Linked DNA regions of Schizosaccharomyces pombe. The gene in region 4 interacts genetically with the main gene of each other region. Each region holds a gene or a part of one and is shown on either strand. Other genes may lie near its edges.

The links.
Region 1: mutations in pab2 (region 4) and rei1 together harm fitness more than expected from each alone (negative genetic interaction), as found in Schizosaccharomyces pombe (2 studies listed by BioGRID).
Region 2: mutations in pab2 (region 4) and eme1 together harm fitness more than expected from each alone (negative genetic interaction), as found in Schizosaccharomyces pombe (2 studies listed by BioGRID).
Region 3: of pab2 (region 4) and rmt1, changing one suppresses a phenotype caused by changing the other (phenotypic suppression), as found in Schizosaccharomyces pombe (one study listed by BioGRID).

What each region holds. Positions count from the first base shown.
Region 1 is NC_003421.2:1,220,655-1,224,718, reverse strand, and holds rei1 (ribosome biogenesis protein), read left to right. Parts: upstream 1-1,537; 5' UTR 1,538-1,711; coding exon 1,712-3,103; 3' UTR 3,104-3,480; downstream 3,481-4,064. Other genes in the region: meiotic cohesin complex STAG protein Rec11, read left to right, coding at 1-302, 346-631, 719-1,033; vgl1 (vigilin), read right to left, coding at 3,702-4,064.
Region 2 is NC_003424.3:3,295,834-3,301,872, forward strand, and holds eme1 (Holliday junction resolvase subunit Eme1), read right to left. Parts: upstream 4,081-6,039; 5' UTR 4,035-4,080; coding exon 3,948-4,034; exon of another isoform or gene 3,892-3,947; coding exon 3,800-3,891; exon of another isoform or gene 3,716-3,799; coding exon 1,687-3,715; 3' UTR 1,509-1,686; downstream 1-1,508. Other genes in the region: glycerophosphoryl diester phosphodiesterase Gde1, read left to right, coding at 1-1,508. UniProt on the Schizosaccharomyces pombe protein: Interacts with mus81 to form a DNA structure-specific endonuclease with substrate preference for branched DNA structures with a 5'-end at the branch nick. Typical substrates include 3'-flap structures, D-loops, replication forks and nicked Holliday junctions.
Region 3 is NC_003424.3:5,015,352-5,019,764, forward strand, and holds rmt1 (protein arginine N-methyltransferase Rmt1), read right to left. Parts: upstream 2,569-4,413; 5' UTR 2,479-2,568; coding exon 2,431-2,478; exon of another isoform or gene 2,353-2,430; coding exon 2,349-2,352; exon of another isoform or gene 2,083-2,348; coding exon 2,070-2,082; exon of another isoform or gene 1,902-2,069; coding exon 1,787-1,901; exon of another isoform or gene 1,709-1,786; coding exon 1,643-1,708; exon of another isoform or gene 1,593-1,642; coding exon 1,298-1,592; exon of another isoform or gene 1,246-1,297; coding exon 911-1,245; intron 865-910; coding exon 725-864; intron 716-724; exon of another isoform or gene 676-715; coding exon 669-675; 3' UTR 608-668; downstream 1-607. Other genes in the region: nucleoporin, WD repeat Nup155, read left to right, coding at 1-435; rpl31 (60S ribosomal protein eL31), read left to right, coding at 2,775-2,921, 3,042-3,236; phosphoenolpyruvate transmembrane transporter Pet3, read left to right, coding at 4,141-4,319, 4,371-4,413. UniProt on the Schizosaccharomyces pombe protein: S-adenosyl-L-methionine-dependent protein-arginine N-methyltransferase that catalyzes both the mono- and asymmetric (type I) dimethylation of the guanidino nitrogens of arginine residues in target proteins.
Region 4 is NC_003423.3:1,938,802-1,942,792, forward strand, and holds pab2 (poly(A)-binding protein Pab2), read right to left. Parts: upstream 1,988-3,991; 5' UTR 1,956-1,987; coding exon 1,920-1,955; exon of another isoform or gene 1,869-1,919; coding exon 1,615-1,868; exon of another isoform or gene 1,560-1,614; coding exon 1,472-1,559; exon of another isoform or gene 1,416-1,471; coding exon 1,293-1,415; 3' UTR 570-1,292; downstream 1-569.

The DNA.
Region 1 (4,064 bases), on a different chromosome or scaffold from region 4:
TTTTTTATAAAATGCGTAGAGCAAATTCCTGACGAGCTTCTTTATAAGAGAGAATTTCATAAGGACTTTTCAAAGTTGTATAAAGAAATACTGGATATATTTAATTCAACTACCGTTAACTTCCTGATGATTTTGTGCAGCAGATTCTTCCACCGATTGGCGGTCAACAAAGTTGTACAGGAAGATATATTATTTGCCATTGACAATGTATATAATGATTTAGCAGAAAGTTTACACGAGCAACTCAATGCATACATTCAAAGAAAAAAAATAAACAAAAAAAATCAGTTGAATGGCAATGAGTAAGGATTTTTCTTTTTGTTATTAGATTGCTAACTTTACAAGTGAAACGCAAAACTTGGTTTTAGCTTTAAATAAGTTTGGATGCTTTGCAAAGGAAATGGTCTGTCTGCGAGACGTCAATGATTGGAACATTAAACTGTCAGAAAAATTATGCGAAATTTGTAGTCTTGAAGTCGGTCCTATCGTCTGTTATTCTTCTTTGAAAGTTTTATTTCTTCTTCTGCTTTCTGATATGAGAGATAGAAACTGTATTTTTACAAATATATTTTTAAAAGCAGCTAAGGTTGCGAAGCAAAAAAATGGAAACTCCTTTTTAAGCAAAGTTTTCGTAAGTCTCTAATGTTGCTGTCTATCTATCTTTTATGACTGTTGATTTCAATCACATTTAGTGGAGTAAAATGCTAACTATAAGCAGATTACAATTACGATGCTTACATTGTTTCTTGGATCAAAGGCAAATAATTGGGATATAAATTTTAGTGACGATGACTTGAAATTGATGAATGAAGAAGAAATCATGGAACAAATTGAAACTTTTAAAGCATGGTCAATGAAATTTAAAGAGAAATCATCTGGAAACCCTTCTTACTTTTTTTCACCCGAAGATACTGAGGAGAAGGAATTATGGAATAATCTGTTTGAGGATTGGTATCCCAATCGTGCTAGAGATCCTGGAACACTGAGTCATTTAGTGAAAGGTTTAAAAGAAACAGCTGACCATTTATCATAAAACGAAATTTTAACACTAATTAAACCCCGAGGGAAAAGAGATAAGAAAGCACATGTGCTAACTTTCTTATTGAGGCAAGGAAACTTATTAAACAAAAGGAAAAGACATTAAACTCTATTATGTATTTCCTATATGATTATTCCAACGAAACTAACTCAAAAATACCTCAATTTCAAATACTCAATTTTAATTAAACCCTGAAGAGTGGGAGCTCGTGTGCTCGCTAAAACTACAATGCATGCCATTTCTTTCTTTCCAGCCCTTTGTCTATATATGAGTTTTCTTAGGACTTACTGGTTAATCAAAAGGTACGCCTTATGTTACTAAGCAATAGAAAATGTTTTTGAGGGATGCATAAATTAAGTTTAAAAAAACAAGACATTAAGATGTTTAACATATCAATTAATTTTATTTGATTTCAATAAAATTGATAATTATTTGACACTTTAAAATAATTTGGTGGTGCTACAAGTTATGTAGGCAATAGTTGATCGTAGGCAAGTTGGATTCAACCAACACCTTTTTGTGCAAGGTATTGTAAAAAAGGGTTGACTTCATCTCATTAAGTTAGTTTGAGTCAAAGAATATATTTGAGGAAAGACTCGGCTTCAATATCAATTTTTTTTTCGATAAAAAAGTGTACTGGCTAAGAATTGAATTACTTGACAGAATACCGAAATGTCGACTTCTTTTGCTTGCACGACTTGTACTGTGGCTTTCAATAATGCAGAATCACAGAAAATACATTGGAAGTCTGACTGGCATCATTATAATCTGAAGAGAAAGGTTGCTAGCTTGCCGCCGTTGAGTGCTGAGGTGTTTGCTGGAAAGATTTTGTCCATTCAAAAGCAGAACGAGGAAGTCCAGAAAAAAGCAGAATTTTATCAAAACTGTGAAGTATGTAATAAAAAGTTTTATTCAGAAGGCGCCTATTCATCACATATGGCTTCGAAGAAGCATCGCGATAACTTGAGCAAATTTCAAAGAAACAGCCGTATTAAGAAACTTCAAAGTGAAGATGCAAGTAGTATTGCTTCTTCAACCTTGTCAATGGGTGAACCTGTAGTTGATAGCGAAATTGAGGAAGAAGAAGATTTAGCTTCACAACTGACATCAAGGGCGATATCCCTTTCCAACTTATCTCTTCATGGTCGAGAAAGTGAACCCTCTAAAACTGAATTGGCTACTTCCATACCTCAATCGAACGAAGCTTCCAAGTCTCATCTATTTACACAAGAACCAACTCCTGAAGAAATTGAAGCTGAACTTGCTCGTCGAAGTAGTCAACGTCTTTCACCAAGAGATTGCCTGTTTTGCGCAGCCTCTTTTTCTTCATTTGATACATGCAAGAAGCATATGAAGGCTTCTCATAGCTTGTACATTCCTGAGCGGGAATATTTGGTAGATGAACCAAGTCTATTCGATTATTTAGCAGAGAAAATTTCTATCGGCTTTACTTGCCTTACCTGCAATCGTGAATTTAAATCACTAGAAGCTGTTCGTGCCCATATGCAGCAAAAGGGGCATACCTCTATTGCCTATGATACAGAAGATGAACAGCTTGAACTCTCTGATTTTTATGATTTTACTACATCGTATCCTGACTATGCAGTAAAGCAAGACGAAACTGTCGTAGAAGAAGATGGAAGCTCTGGTGAAGGAGACTGGGAAGATGTTTCTGATGATTCAGATAACTCCAGCTTAGATAGTCTTGAAATGGGTCGTGTACCCATTGCTGACGAATATGAACTTCATTTACCCTCTGGTAATCGTGTGGGCCATCGTTCGTTATCTCGCTACTTCCGCCAAAATCTTCACTCTAGTTCTACCGCTGTAGGAGATGGTGCTTCTATTCATCAGAACGTCGCCAGACGTGCGATGAGTGGTAATGCCCGAGCTTATAGACAAGCTGTTGAAACAAGTATAGCTGGTGTTCGCGATGGCCGTAAGAATTATAGTGCCTCTCATATCAAATCATTCCAAGACCAAAGAAGAAGAGAGGAATTTGCTAACAAGATGGGTATTAAGAATAACACAAAAAAGCATTTCCGCGATGCGCTTCTTCAATAGTCTATTTATTGTACGAGGCCTTTTGTTTCTTTCATTATATACTTCATACTCCACATTCTTTCGTCTCATATTTCTCCTTACTTCCGGTGTTCTTTATTTTGGGGTTTTCTGGGTTTTTTTAACTTATTTACGCTATTTGGAAAAAAAAAACGTCCTAATATGGTTCTTCTTTTGAGAAATGGTTAAATTTTAGCTCGTTGTTTGTAAATTTATAATATTCTTTTACTAAAACTTGTTGTGTCCTATCTGTCGTACAATGCTTATTTTCTCATAAAAAATCATAGATTTCAACTATTCTAGTTTCTTGAATTATCTATACATTCCAATGTTTATATCTGAAAAGATTGAATAAATGCACTAGGTACGCCTTTTTCCTATGCGTCTATATTTGTAATATTAAACAAAGGCAATGTAACAAAGCAAAGAAGGAATCAATAAGGAAAATGCTCGATTCAAGCAATTTCCGTCTCCTTAAAAAATGACATGTAGTAATAAAAGAGCGACAAAATGATATTTCGTACACATAATTTTCAAATACACTCTCAAAAAAATTTGAGAAATGAATGTAAGTACTAAATAAAGGCTCCAAAATTTTACCTTACTCTTGATTTTGGTTTTCTTGAAGTCTCTCGAAAATCAGATCTTTAGCCTTGACAACGCCAGCTCGACTTCCTTGGACTACTACAATTTCATCGCCTGGAGTACGAGGAACATCAATTTTAACTTGGGCGATCTTTCGGATCTTATTAATAATAGAGCCACCAGAACCGATTATACGACGGTGCAAGTTCGTTGGGATACCCAAGTAAGCAATACAATTTTCCATAACTTGCTTGATAGATTTTTCCAATGAAGCGATAGCCTTTTCAACATTTTCCTTATGTCCTCGAACAGCCCACTCAGATGAAGAAGAACCAGTGTAGTCGTGAGTTACCAGTTTCCAAGGGAAAACGCCATCCTC
Region 2 (6,039 bases), on a different chromosome or scaffold from region 4:
ATGCCGGTGAAGTTTGCTTAGAGAATTTGGCGGAGCCTGATGAAATTGCCGACGACTCTATTCATTTGCATTATGATGCCGCACAAGAAAATAGTCCGCAACCTGTAAACGGGTCTTCTCCACCGTATGAATTGGTTTTCGTTACAAGAAATACAGAAGAAGCAACTATTACAATTGATTTGTTAGCAAATCGATCCCATAAAATATTAGGGAGAACTGTATGTTGCTTGACTTCTCTGGTATCTGATTTGGGGAATCATATGCAGTCGTTGAAACCTTTGGCACCCTTACCATTACTTTCGAGTAAAACTCTTAAACCAATAGCTCATGTTAATGCGGATGTTCTTATTTCTAAGGTGACAGTTGATGATAGATTTTCGTCAAATGATGGCATAAGTACCCCTGCCTTATCGCTGGAAGCAGTTTCCAACGTAAGTCGCACTGCATTGGAAGACGCTGAGCGTTCTTTACACAAATCTGCCACAACTACATCAGAATCAGGGAAATCGAATGGTGTTGCGGTTATCGGACATCGTGGACTTGGTAAGAATCAGCCTGATCGTTTGAGTCTTCAACTTGGCGAGAACACTTTACAATCGTTTATAAAAGCGGCAGATCTTGGTGCTTCTTACGTTGAATTAGATGTGCAAATGACTAAAGACATGGTCCCAGTGGTATACCATGATTTTATCGTAAACGAAACCGGAACGGATGCACAAGTGCATTCGCTGACTTTGGAGCAATTCTTAGGGGCTTCCCACTCTCCTTCAGAAGAAATTAAAGATGATGCAAGTGACATTCAGCAGAAGAGACGTCCTAGGGCCTACAGTTCCTCATTTACACCTTCAGGATCACAGGTTAATTTCGGTGAATTTGCTGAAGAAAACGCACGTTTGAAGCCTAAAGTATATAAGGGTAATGCCCTTGGTCATACGATTTGTGCACCGTTCACAACTTTAAAGGATGTTTTGAAGGAAGTTCCACAATCCGTAGGACTTAATGTGGAATTTAAGTACCCCATGCTAAGTGAAGCTGAGGAAGAGAAATTGCTCCCTATAGCTTATGATTATAACTTTTACGTGGATACCATTCTATCGATAATCAAAAAGTATGGTGGTAAAAGAAAGTATATTTTCTCTAGTTTTAATCCTGATATATGCATCTTACTTTCTTTGAAATCGACTAATCCTGTTCTTTTTTTGACTGAAGGAGGTACCGCTTACCGAACAGACGTTCGTGCAGCATCGCTTAGACAAGCTTTAAAGTTTGCCTCACAGTGGAGTTTTCTGGGTATCGTTAGTGCTTGTGAACCGCTCATTATGTGCCCGAGGCTGATCAAGGCAGTTAAACAATTGGGTTTATCTTGCTACACCTATGGTGTTCTCAATAATGATGTTGACAATGTCCGACGCCAAGTACGTTTTGGAGTTGATGCTGTCATTGTAGACAATGTGTTAGCCATTAGACGTGCCTTGAACCAGTACGATGAAAGTTTGGAATCTGATTGATCTAGAAAGTTTGAACGAATACTACCGACGATATAGAAGATGAGGTGCTTTAGTTAGAAACCGATATTAGTTAATTTTTAGTTAGAAGAAAGTATATCATAAGAAAATTTCATAGATAGAAAAAAAAAGGAAAAAATATCATGATAACAATTAATGAAATACAAATAATGACCGATCACTATGGTGCATCACTGGATGCTTCTTTACATAAGAAAGTGTTATATATACGGCGCGATAAAACCGGACCTAAATTTCGTTCACTAATACTAGATTGGATGACAACGTTGGTTAATGATTCCTCGCCGTGAGTTTTTAGATGATGAATTAAAGATGGTATACTGTCAAATTGATCGCATATGGCGTTAGCAATGTTAGGTGTAACTCGTAGTATTTGCCGCAACATAAAATTTAGAGAGTTTTCAATTCTATCGGCGGATTTGACATGTCCTATTTCGGTAGTAGAGGCTCTAGCTGAAAATTTAGAAAAGTGCTTGTAACGAGATAAAGCTATGTCGCCGGTAAAGGAAACTATCCATTGAGCGGTTTCTTTTTCGTCATTTGAAGTGTTTATAAGAATACTATGTTCGAAACTGAAGCGGACGATTTCACTCTCTAACTTTTCTTTAGTAAAGTTTTGATATTTTGATAAAGAACCAAATAACAAAGGTCTGGTACCGCTATTAACAGCTGCTGCATATTGACGATTTAATTCTGCTTTCAGAGATTTAAAATAGTTTGGGATGCCTTCCAGCAACAGTATTAGCTTACAGCCTTTAAACTTTTCAGACATTTCATGAAAAAAAGTATCAGCTTGGTCCTCTTCGATGTATTTTATAAAATCCCGGCATTTCAACCGTAGTAGGGCAAAAGGTTCGATTTGTTCATGCTCTATGCTAAGTTCAAACCGGTTGGTAGAAGAATTAAACACATTGTTTACCTTCCTTTTCCACATAATTGAGTCTTTTGGTTGATTTGAATTGACAACGAATTGGCAGTTGTATGAATCTAATTGAGAGCGAACAGTTGAATACCAAGATGAAGCCCAATCATCCGGCGATAAAAGAATTATCTCAGATAGGCATTCTTCTTTGGTTCTCTTAACTTTGTTAATTTTTTGAAGTTCCTTTGAATTCTTTCTGTCCAATTCTTTCGCCATCTTTCTATTCAAGCTGTCAACCTTATCTAAAGTTTTTGATTTTTTCAAAGAATCTTCGTAACGTTTCCTCTTACGTTGTGTATTAGAGTCTAGCTCGTACGGTTCCAAGCTCCTAGAGCATAATTTTCTCATTTTTTTTAATTTATCCAAATTTTTTTTATTTGAATTTGAAGTAGAGGCAGGAGGCGTATCGGTAGTCCTTGAAATTTTGGGTAGTCTCATTTTTTTAAAAGCTCTACTTTGAATGGAAAGTTTGTTTAGAGAAGGAAGTTCTTGAAAACTATCTTCCTGACTAGTATTGGGTTCAATTGAAGAATGCTTGGATGGAGAGGTCGGGCTATCTAAGTGCACATCAGATGTGAGATTGAAAGTTCTTTCTTGATTTTCTACGGAGGTTTTGGAACGGTTATTGATGAGGTCGATTGTATTGGAGCTGTCTTGGTTAGGAAATAAATTAGGCGTAGAAGGGGCATGTGATAATCGATTAGAAGTAGGACTAGCGATGGATGGCATGCATGGCTTTAGTATAGAGGATGAGGATGTTAGTGCATCGTTGAAAGATTTTGTTTTTGTTAGCGGACTCTGGGTAAATGGGAAATGATCGTCATCATTCGTGTCCAGTAGTATATCGTGAAGGGAGTGGGATTTTTGAAGGACTGTGGAGAGCGGCGGGGAGGACTGGAAATCTTTTAAGGGTGAAGAAGTCAAAGAAGCAGCTTTTTTAGATAAAGGGGAAGCCACTTGTTCATTGTCGTCGGGAATAACGATGGGAGAGGAGGTTTTCGATGACAATTGTGTAGTCCTAGGAATGGTGGGAGTATGGAATAAATGAAATTCTTGGTGTTTTGGTTGCGAGGAAAGGGAATTAGGGGGAGAAGAGTTTAAATTAATGATTTCGACGCGTGAAGAAGGATTTAAATTCGTGTTTGTTGACTGGTTTGAAGAAGTTAAAGAGAGCAAAAGATTATCGGTAACCGACTTTTTATTAGTGATATTAAGGGCATCACGGGGACTAGGGAGAACATCTTCGGAGCCGGAAACTAAAGGAGTACTGACCCCAAATGAACGATTAGCGAGATGTGGAAGAAAAGTGTGGAAAGGAAGGAAATGCTGGCAACAATATTTGTCAACTTACCTGAAACTTTTTAGCAAACTATCGCATTGAGTAGATCTTTGAGGAGTATCAAGAACAGTTATAACATTGTGTTCTGACAAAGCAATATTGTCCTAAAAAGAGGGTTAAAAAAAAAGCGAACAGAAAGAAAGGGAAATACGCGACAAACCTTGGAAGGAGAAGCTTGTGAGCTTGAAATGTCAACATCAGCTTCAGAATCGATCACAATAGCGGAATCTGTAGACTGCAGAGTCATTCAATGCATGTGTAGTGTTTGTTTTCCGAACAATAGAGGGTTTGGTGGTTAGGACAGGTAGGGCAAAGTGTACACAAGGAGCCGGCAGGGAACGAGAGTTGGTGACAGAAATAGAGCGAAAAGAAATGAGAAAAAAAAAAAAAAGTTTGAAGTAAAAAATTTAGATAGGAATGGTATTAAAGAGTTTGAATAATTAAAAAGATTGGAGGTTTGCGTGGATGTTTGAGGATATTTGGTATGGAAAGTATAGAGAGTAGTAGGTTTGTTTACATATAAGTATATATAGGTTAGGTGAGAGATGGGTAAAAAATGGAGAAGAGAAATGGATGCAGGAGGAGTTTAGATAAGATGAATAGTATAAAAAAAGGAAAATATTTATTCTTTTAGAAGTAGTTGAAAGGATGTCGTTTTGTGTTTGAGAATTGAAGATTATTGAAATCAATGAGTGGGATGGGTGAGTATTTCTTTTGCAAATACTGTGGTTTAGTGTGTCATTTTGAAAGAATTTTAGGTAGAAGGGCGATACGGTATTTAGGGACTTTGGTAGTACGTTAGAAAGTGTAAAAAGATTGAATAAAATAAAAATTTCAAAGAAAAGAAAATCAATTAATTTAACCAAAATTAAAATAAATTCAATTCAAATTCAATAGAATAAAATACTCTAATATTTAAAGCTCAATAGTATAAAAATAAAAATAAAAATGTACTAGAGTTTCTTTTTCATTAGTCTGTTTCATCAATGATGGTAAACAAAAAAATAAAATAAAATAAAATAAAACAAAATAAAAATGAAAATGAAAATGAAAAATCCTTTGATGCAATGTTTCCAAATGGGTTTATGCTTACTTTTTTTTTGTATTCTTTAATTGATCAACGATACAATGAATGATGAGTAAAAACTTTTTTTGTTTTTACCATGAATACATTGTTTTTCTTTTTTTTTCGGGGGGGGGGGGGGGGGGGCTTTTTTTTCCTTACTCTTCTTTGTCTCTTTTTAAAATTTTCTTTTTCTATTTAATTTAATTTTACTTTTCATTGCAAAATCAATTCTACTTATTAGTTCGCAGTTTAAAACATTTTTTCATTGCGATCTGTGAATTTTGCAACCAAACAAAGAAAGCAGAAAGGCAAGGGTGTAGAGTATAGTAGAGCAGATCAAAGCAAAGCAAAGTAAAGAGAGAGAGAAACCAATATTCGCAAACTGAAATTTCTCCTTTTTTAAGAGGACCAACGAGTTGTGCGAAATTTCCAAATTATTCATAGTAAATTCAACTGCATTATACAAGTATAATCAATACACACTACTATCTTTTATCATTCTTCACTAAACAATCATTAGTAGAGTACGAAAGTCATCGCTACATTTTACTTGTGACCAAGCCAAACCTTTTTTCCTTATAGTCAAGACAGTGTGTATCAAGGCAGCGTATGTGAATAGCAACAGCGTATGTATATGTGTGTGTATCATTGTTCGCTATAGCTTTTTTCTCTTAGTGTCAACGTGTGAGTGTGATAAGTTGTATTTTTACAACGGAAATCCTTTAAATAGACTCTTATACATGTTGATCCAGCAATAAGCCAAAAAAAGTGCAATACGTCAAAAATCGTAGTATTCGGCAAAACAATTGCATTCAGTATGTTTTGATTCTTAAGAGAAAATCTCTTTTTTTCTTTTTTTTTTTTTTTTAATTATAATTCTTGTTTCCTTTCTCGCCTCTCCTCTCTTCTCTCTTTTATCTTTTTCTCTTTTCACCCTATACTCCTTTTGCTACCACGACCATTGTTGCTTCGGTTACGCAGAGTTTATTTTCTTCGGATAGCAGGCGCACCTTTATCTTAACTCCGGGTTTAGTAGCCGGGAGGAATGGGAGAGATGGACGATCAGAGCTCCATCTAAAAAAGTAAAATGCAGCGTCCGATGGGCCGGAAGCGTTGCAGGTCTTTTCGTACGGAAGCATGAACACAGGAGATGAAGGAACATGAGCAAAAAACGAATGTAGACAAA
Region 3 (4,413 bases), on a different chromosome or scaffold from region 4:
ACGCTGAGATTTTCACAATCTGAAAACGTTTTCCCTATTGAGCAAATAATTGACATTACTGAAAGATATGCGTTTGATCAACAAGGTGAAGCGGTAGCTACTGGTTGGGTTATTGATACATTCTTGGGAGCCGGCGTTTCTCATGAATTAATATTTATTGTACTAAACCAGCTCTACGATCGCAGAGAAAAGCCTTGGCAAGGAAAAGATAGGCTTTTTTTCCTAATAAAAGAAGTTACCCATCTATTAAAATTATGGCATGAAGTGAGTGTAAGAGCCGGAGTTGCTCAAACCTCCAAACCCAGTTTTGATGCTCCTCTTGTTTTGGAAGCAATAGAGAAATACAAAAATGCGCTAGGTGCACCCGATACTGCCACGAAAAGTTGCAAAGAAAATTTAATATCTTTAGATTCTGAAATTCGTCAGACATACTAGTGAAAAGATAGCTTTTTATAACAACATTTTTTAAAAAGATGGTGTTTGGTATTTAATAAATGCAATGATTATATTGGATGGATTTGAAACCTTCACATAATTGGATGTTGTTAACTATCGCTATGACTGTTACATATAAAAAAACAATTTAGAAAATACTCTTTTACAGCACTTGCAATGATAAATGTGTGATTAGAAACTAAAAAACCTAAATCCTTTTTTTTTTGTAAAATTTAACACCTGCCAAAGTTAGTAATTTAAGTGTGATAAATGACTATGAATAGCTTACATTCTATAAGAAAGGTCTTCTGAAACAGGCTCGCGATTTGGCTCACGTGGATTGAAAGTGTATGAAATATCAATATCAAGTTCGCGGTGGTTTCCTTCTGCAGGTTTGCAAGTAATTGTACCTCTAATGTATTCACCGGCCTATAGAAGTGGTGTTAGTAAATCTTGTAAAAGAGAAAAAATGTACCTTTACAGTGAGATCCTTATGAGTATAGAAAACAGTTTGTTTCCAATGAGTGTAACGGGAGAATGGGCCGGTACTAAACTTAATAGGTTTATGACAAGCGGAAAATTCGATGTCAAACCACGCAAGGAAAGCATGAACGAAATCGTTGCGAGTAGCGGTTATTTCAAAGGGAGAGGAAAATGCGAGGTCTTCTTTTTTCACAGTTTTTAAATCTAAATCAAGAATTACACAACTATTGGTATTGACGGCTATGCGATCAACCGTATCAACCAAAGGTTCTTTCCAGACATCCTTTTTTATGGGAGAAAAATCAAAACCGTAAACGTCGTCCCAAACTGAGAAATGAATGGTTAGAAAGATACCGACAGATACTTAACTTAAACTTACATCCAATTTTTTCAGATTTGTAATCAGCATCTTCGATGGCTGCTAGTTGAATCTGGGCGCGATCGGGGAATAGAAGACCATCAGGTGCAAGATAGCGGTCACGAGCAACGAGAACTGTGTCGAGCATGCTCTCGTAAAGTAAAAAGTAGCCCATCCATTCGGATACAATAATATCTACTTTTTCCACAGGAAGTTGTATTTCTTCCATTTTGCCTTGTATTAGAGTAATACGGTCGGAAAGTTTATTAACTTCAACAATCTGTACAGCTTTGTGGATAATTTCGCTCATGTCAACCTACGTTTCGTTAACAATTTATGCAGGGGAGATAAATGGAATAAACATACACCATATACGTGTTTAGCGCCTGCTCTAGCGCAAAACATGGAAAGAATACCGGTACCACATCCAACCTAACAGGTTAGCAAGCGAAAGAAAAAATATGTAAGTGAAGAAAAACGAGATCTATCCTAAATAACTGGTAAGCATACATCAAGAACAATTTTATCACGAAAGAGATGTGGGTTTTGCATGATTGCGTCGCGATAGGAAAGCGTACGGACATCATCCTTTAACATTTCTTCATGAATTCCCCAATGAGAGTAACTGAAAATTAGTATACTGATCGGATAATCAAAAAATCACAATTCAAGTATTTTAAAAAGATAAAAATTTATAACTCTTGATGACAATTGCCTTCACGAAGAGATCGAAAACCTAATTAAATTGCTTCTACGTCGTTGATTGTTGCGATTAATAAAACAGTAAAAATACCTGTCAAAATAATCTATTTATTAGCAAGGACTGACGGGAAAAGTTAATGTGGTTTAAGTTGGGATTAAAAGTATCTTTTCAACGAATGTCAGATAAACAGAAATAATCAACCTCATTTGGCAAGGTATGTATTAAGAACAGTCATTGACTGACAGACGAATCGTTGAGTCTATGGTTAAGTATAAGCCGGAAGCATATACTTGAGGGAAATGTCCAAATGACTAAACGGACTGAAAACCCGATATCCTACCAACTCAATCACTGAATTAAAAAACTTACAATCCTATGTTTAGTTAATAAAATACTCAACAGTGGAATTGCATCCAGAACAATTAGTATCATCATAGAGCAAAAAACATACCTTGGCAGTCAAGCCAGAATCCGCGCTTTTCTTGGTATTCCCAGGCATTTTCAAATAGTAAGTAATTTAATTTCCAATTCTGGATGCGAAACGCAAAATCACTCAAACTTATGAAAATTGGTAAACGGCTGTCAACACGACCAACTTAGGTCGCTGGAGAGGCCCTAGTTCTTCAAATGGCAGGCTGTTACTTGGGATGTACTTTATGTGCAACACAACGCTAAGGCAGCATAGTGTACGAAAACAACCAGTCCTACCCTACCCTAACAGAAAACGCCGTCACATTTTAAGCAAACGAAACTTTGGATCACTCGGAAACAAACCTGTGCACAAAACCTCTTACAATGGCCAACACTAAGAAGAGCGCTATTAACCAAGTCGTCACTCGTGATTACACGATTCACATGCACAAGAGACTCTACGGAGTTTCTTTCAAGAAGCGTGCTCCTCGTGCCATCAAGGAAATTGTTGCATTCGCCCAAAAGCATATGGTAAGTAAAAAAATAAGTGAGATTAGTATAAAAGTCTTTATATTTCGTATTCATGGCTACAATATTTCCTCCTTTCTTCCTTTCTCAAAATTTCAGTCCTACTAACTGTATTTTTTATAGCAAACCAAGGAGGTCCGCGTCGACCCTTCTTTGAACAAGGAAGTTTGGAAGCGTGGTATCAGAAATGTGCCTCACCGTCTTCGCCTTCGTCTCTCTCGTAAGCGTAGTGACGAGGACGACAAGGCTCTCTACACTTACGTTCAAGCTGTTGACGTTGCCAACCCTAAGATGGAGACCACCGTTGTTGAGGAATAAAATATGTGCGTTTTGATGCACGGTTCTATTTTGATATACCAGTATGCTGATATAATTGTAAATTGAATGGTGATCTGTTATACTCGGCGTATTTGAGTTATTTGTAGTGAGAGGTTGAGCTGTAATGGAAGTGAAAGATTTGTAGTAAATATGGAAAAAGATCGTAGCGGGTTTGAAGGATTCAAAATAAGAGCATATCTAATACCGAGTTACTTAGTTTGACGCACCTTTTAATCCACCAATTGTGAACAAGAAAGCAAGTATAAAGAGTGTAGCTTGTATTGCGAAGACGTTTTTGACAGTGAGCGCTTTTTTAATGCAGTTTTGATATTGACACTGTAGATGCCCATTTAGCTTAAAATCAAATGAATAAGAGAATACAACTTAATATATCTTCAGGATGCGTACCTACAAGTTATTTTTCCTACTCATTGACTGATGATGAAAACAAAGGTTGCAATGCCTTAAAAAAGTGAACCTTCAAAAGTAGCGGAATTATTGTCAATTTATTGTATTATTTAATATTACTATTCTAATTGTGTCGTAATTAACTGTTCGAAAATATCCACAATGAGCCACCTGATGCATGTGAAATGAAGCAATTCGCTGAGACATAGGTTTCCGAAGGTATCTCCATATTAAGGCAACTGTCCTCTATTAAATATAGCGTCTTAAATATTTTTGTGATTAATTGCTTTGAAATCTCTTTATTAACTCTCTCCAATTATTTCACTTATTAGCATCCTCTGGTGTACGGCCACCCTTTACCACACATACGCGTGCTTTGTAGAGTTTTATGCTAGCACCTCTTAAAGTTGTTTTCTTTCTTTCATAAAAGAAATTAAAGCATATGTTGAGGAACAAGCTTAATTCATCCACATTGTACAGTTAGCTAGTCTTATAAATGGAGACAGATCCGATTTTGAAAGTCGAGCGAGAGCCCGAGTTCACTCCATCTCCGGCCCCGGAGGCTATTGTAAAGGATATTGAACAAGGAGTAGCTCCCGTATCACAGAATGAGCCTGACCGTCCTCAACATTGGATCACAAGGGTAGTCATAATAGTACTCATTGTGCTTGCTTGGTATGATCCCCTCCTTCAGTCATTGTGTTTACTAACTGGTATTGTTTTTAGGTATTTCTTTTCTTTACTTCTTTCTATGATGAACAAGTGGATT
Region 4 (3,991 bases):
ACCAATTTATCTTTTTCGTTGTAGAAGTAGTAAACCGATATACGATCTAAATTGGCTCTTTTTATAAATCGACAGACGAATGCTCGAATGCTCGAATGCTCTCTGGAATATCCTAGTGTAAATACCTGTTGGTTGGCTAAATAGTGGATCAATAGGTGTAACTCGCAAGTTCAGCGAATATCCGCTCAGCTAATATTTGGCAAATCGAAAGAGTAAACAAAGGTCATCGAATCTGAGTGGCACAGCGTAGAAACGACTGACTTGATTATCCTTGTTACTTTTATTTATCGCTTCCCTATACGAGTTGGGTAAAAGGCAGGAAGGAAATTATTTGTACTGGAATCCGGAATATGCCGCAGGTAGCTAAAAGAAATTGACTCGACATGTACAATATATGAACATAAAAATCGACTATGTAAAAACTACTTAATTAGATATACACCAAGCTTTTTTTGTTAAATGTCATTTTACATCATGATGACTAAAAATTAATTTCCTCACAATTATTACATATAAAAATGAACTTGTAGACTTAGAAAAGAAAGTCATACATTTTCTATATAAAATCATTAAACAGAATCAAGAAATTTATTAGAAATATAAGAAGATCCTCAGCATTAAACTCTCCAAAGGAGAAGAGAAGAACGTTAATGTGTTTCACTATATTAAACACAAAATGTAATGGTGAACACAGAGAAGTATCTCCTCATTACAAAAATATATATATAATGAAATTATACATTGGTAGGTGTTTAGTTTTATTAATCAAGAAAGGAAGGAGATGACTGTAATATGTGATACGGTGTATAGAGTAGCTTCCTTTTCTGACCCCTTTTCTAATCAAGCGGATCAAGATTATGACGAGAAATTAAGCTGAGCAAATAAATTTTCAAAAACAAAAAAAAGAAAATTTTGAAGATTATGAACGTGCATCAGAAGCATAAAAACGACAATATACAACAAAATTTTATGAAGCTGGCATTGTAAACACAAAAATGCAATCAACTAGTCCATACCCAAGAGGAATTGAAGGGTCGGTGAATTACATTATGTCAGCATATATGTTTTAATATAGTGAATGGGATCATGACTTTAAAGGAAACCCGTGTAATCCAACACAAAAGAATAAACAAGGAATATAAACATTTAACGAATGAGTTGAAAGAAATACTAGTTAATTTCCAACATACTGTTAAATGTCATTTCTAATCTTTTCCCACCTAACTGTTATTGGTGACGATTTGAATGCTCATAATTCATTTTTCACTTTTTCAAGTCATCAAAGCGATTACCTAATACGGAGCGAAACCACGGGCTCTTCCACGATATCCTCCTCTGCCACGACCCCGTCCACGTCCACGTCCGCGACCACGACCACGGCTCATACCAGGAACGTTTGTCCGCTTGGGTGTAACCTACATTTCAAGTTAGAATGCATGTTGCTGGTAGTTACTGTGATTGTTTTACATACCTTTAAAGGTCGTTCATGCAACATCGATCCATTTAATAAAAGAGCATTAGGCACTAAGCTTGGTTCACTGAACTCGATGTATGCAAATCTACGAAACTAGGTTAGCTGTACATTCCAACGTCATCCACAAGTTCGATTCATACCCTTTTGGATGTCCCGTAAACTTGTCACACAAAATGGTAACGCGATTAACAGATCCACAACTAGCAAAATGACTTTGCAACTCCTCTGGAGTAACACTGTAATCAACATTTCCAACATAGACACTTTGAGCATCAATGGATTCCTTATCGTTTCTCAAAGCTTCCGTTTCATTATCTAGTTGTTCTTGCATGGCACGAAGCTTTGCAGCCTCTGCTTCCATTTCAGCAACTCGCTCTTTCATTTCCAATAGTTCCTAATCATGTAAGCAAATAATTCCACCATACTACACAGTCTGAATTCCTACCTTTTCTTGGGTATCTAAGGCATCTTGATCACTCATTTTTTCAAATTTTCTGCTACACGCGTGTGGTTGGAAGTAAACTGTTCAACCAGTATTCTTTAGCATGTTGAGGGTGACAAAAGTTTCCCTCTATGCTCTCAGAGTAGCGACGCTTTGTTTCGCGCAAATTTACAATAGCGTATGGCACGATTAGAGACGGAAAAACCGATTTCTGAATGAAACAGCACAATATGGTGTAATATTTTCGTATTCGTTAATACGTACAATATGTGTTTAACGAGGATTTGGACTGCCTGCTTATAGTTCGGATGCTTGGTTAAGATGAGAGTGCTCACAAGTAAGTAAGGTGAGGTTTGTGGACATTTTTGTATGGCGTGTTTGGTTTTATTGTATTGCTAAAATCACAATTCATAAGAAAGCGATCTTTAAAAAACAATTAAGGAGATTGACGGGATATGCCGTTAAATGTTTAGTTTTTGGACGTAACGAATACCTAAGTTGCTTGAAGAGCTCTCCCACTTGAAGTGAAATAAGTGGAATCCTAAAGAAATACGATAAGACGTGATAAAGTATGGCATAATGTAGTTCTTTCATGGAACTTCGAACTCAATTATTACACACTCTTCACCATTGATATACGTATCCAGGGTTGGTATTATCTTCATTAGCTCGATAGCCAAGGGTGATGAATTACAAAAATATAGAAAAGGGATATTTTTGAATGGAAGTCTATTTAAAATAACTTCCTGTTTTTTAATTGATTTCTTTAATAATATTCCGTATTTTTATATAAATTAATTTATTTTTTCTGATTTTTACCATTATTTCTTTTTTTACTTTATTTTGTAGTTTTTTGTGTTTTTTTTTTTTTGTTCAGCAACCCATCTAACGTAATGCTATCGTTTATATTAATTGTTTTTTTCTTCTTCTTTTGTTTCTACGCTTTAAATGTAAAAAGAGTCCAAGTCTAAATAAACCAATTTTTTTTTTTTTTTGCCTGGGGATACTAATAATTTAATAAAATGGAAATTTCCCAACAATGTTTATCTATCAACCACAGCAAGCCGTTCCCAGCTTAACTAATACTAGAATAAAACAAATAATAATAAAGCATCAAGTAACGGTATATTTCGTTTCATATGCGAATTGTAGAACCAATACTACAGATACTTCACTATTTATTTATCCGGTAGCAGTCTACCATTGATTACCTTCTAGACACCGTTGACGATTCACATACCGAAGCGGAGAAAATTAATAAATCAGAGTTTTAACTCAAAGGAAGCTTCTATGATCCCTTCCAATCTCGTACTTCTATTCAAGGGCCTATATATCTCTTGATATTTAATTGCTATGGCAGCTTCCTTAAACCAAGCAACATAATGATCAAACAAAAAGCAAATTGTTAGGCAATTTTAAGATCATTTCATTAAAATGTACGAAATAATTAGTTCATATTCGAGGCTTATATCTTTCTCATTATCGAACATTTTCCATCGTTCATCTATCTACTTTGCTATTCTAGTTAACAGTGGTTACTTGTGCATCTAAAACGATCGGTGAAACGAAGATAGAAACGAGAAAAGAATTCAATAAGATGAGAAAAAATAATTAAAACAATTAGTAAAAATGAAAATAGATTGTAGACGATAGCATATGTGTCTATAAATTAGTATATACGACTTGTTCTATTTTATATTTATTTATTTATCACGCACAAGTTTAAGGAGAAATAATGCACTACACAGTCACGTTATCATAGAATAAGGAAGAAGAAGTCAGAACGGGATAAATTGATCACGAATCTTCCTTACCAACTCATCTACTATCTCGACATAATTGTGCTATATTCCACTAAATTTCGTTAAATTCTCTATCGCAATCAAAGGAACATCAGCACTAAAAAGAACTCCTCAGGGGGGGCGGATAACTTTACCCTCTACCAACAACAACCAACCAAGGTTCTGTTTTCTGCTACATTTCTGGGTTCAACATGAGAAAATTTGCTTAACAAAATATTAATACACACACGATCTAAGTGAATTGCTACGAAATTCTAATTCTCCCAAAGTATT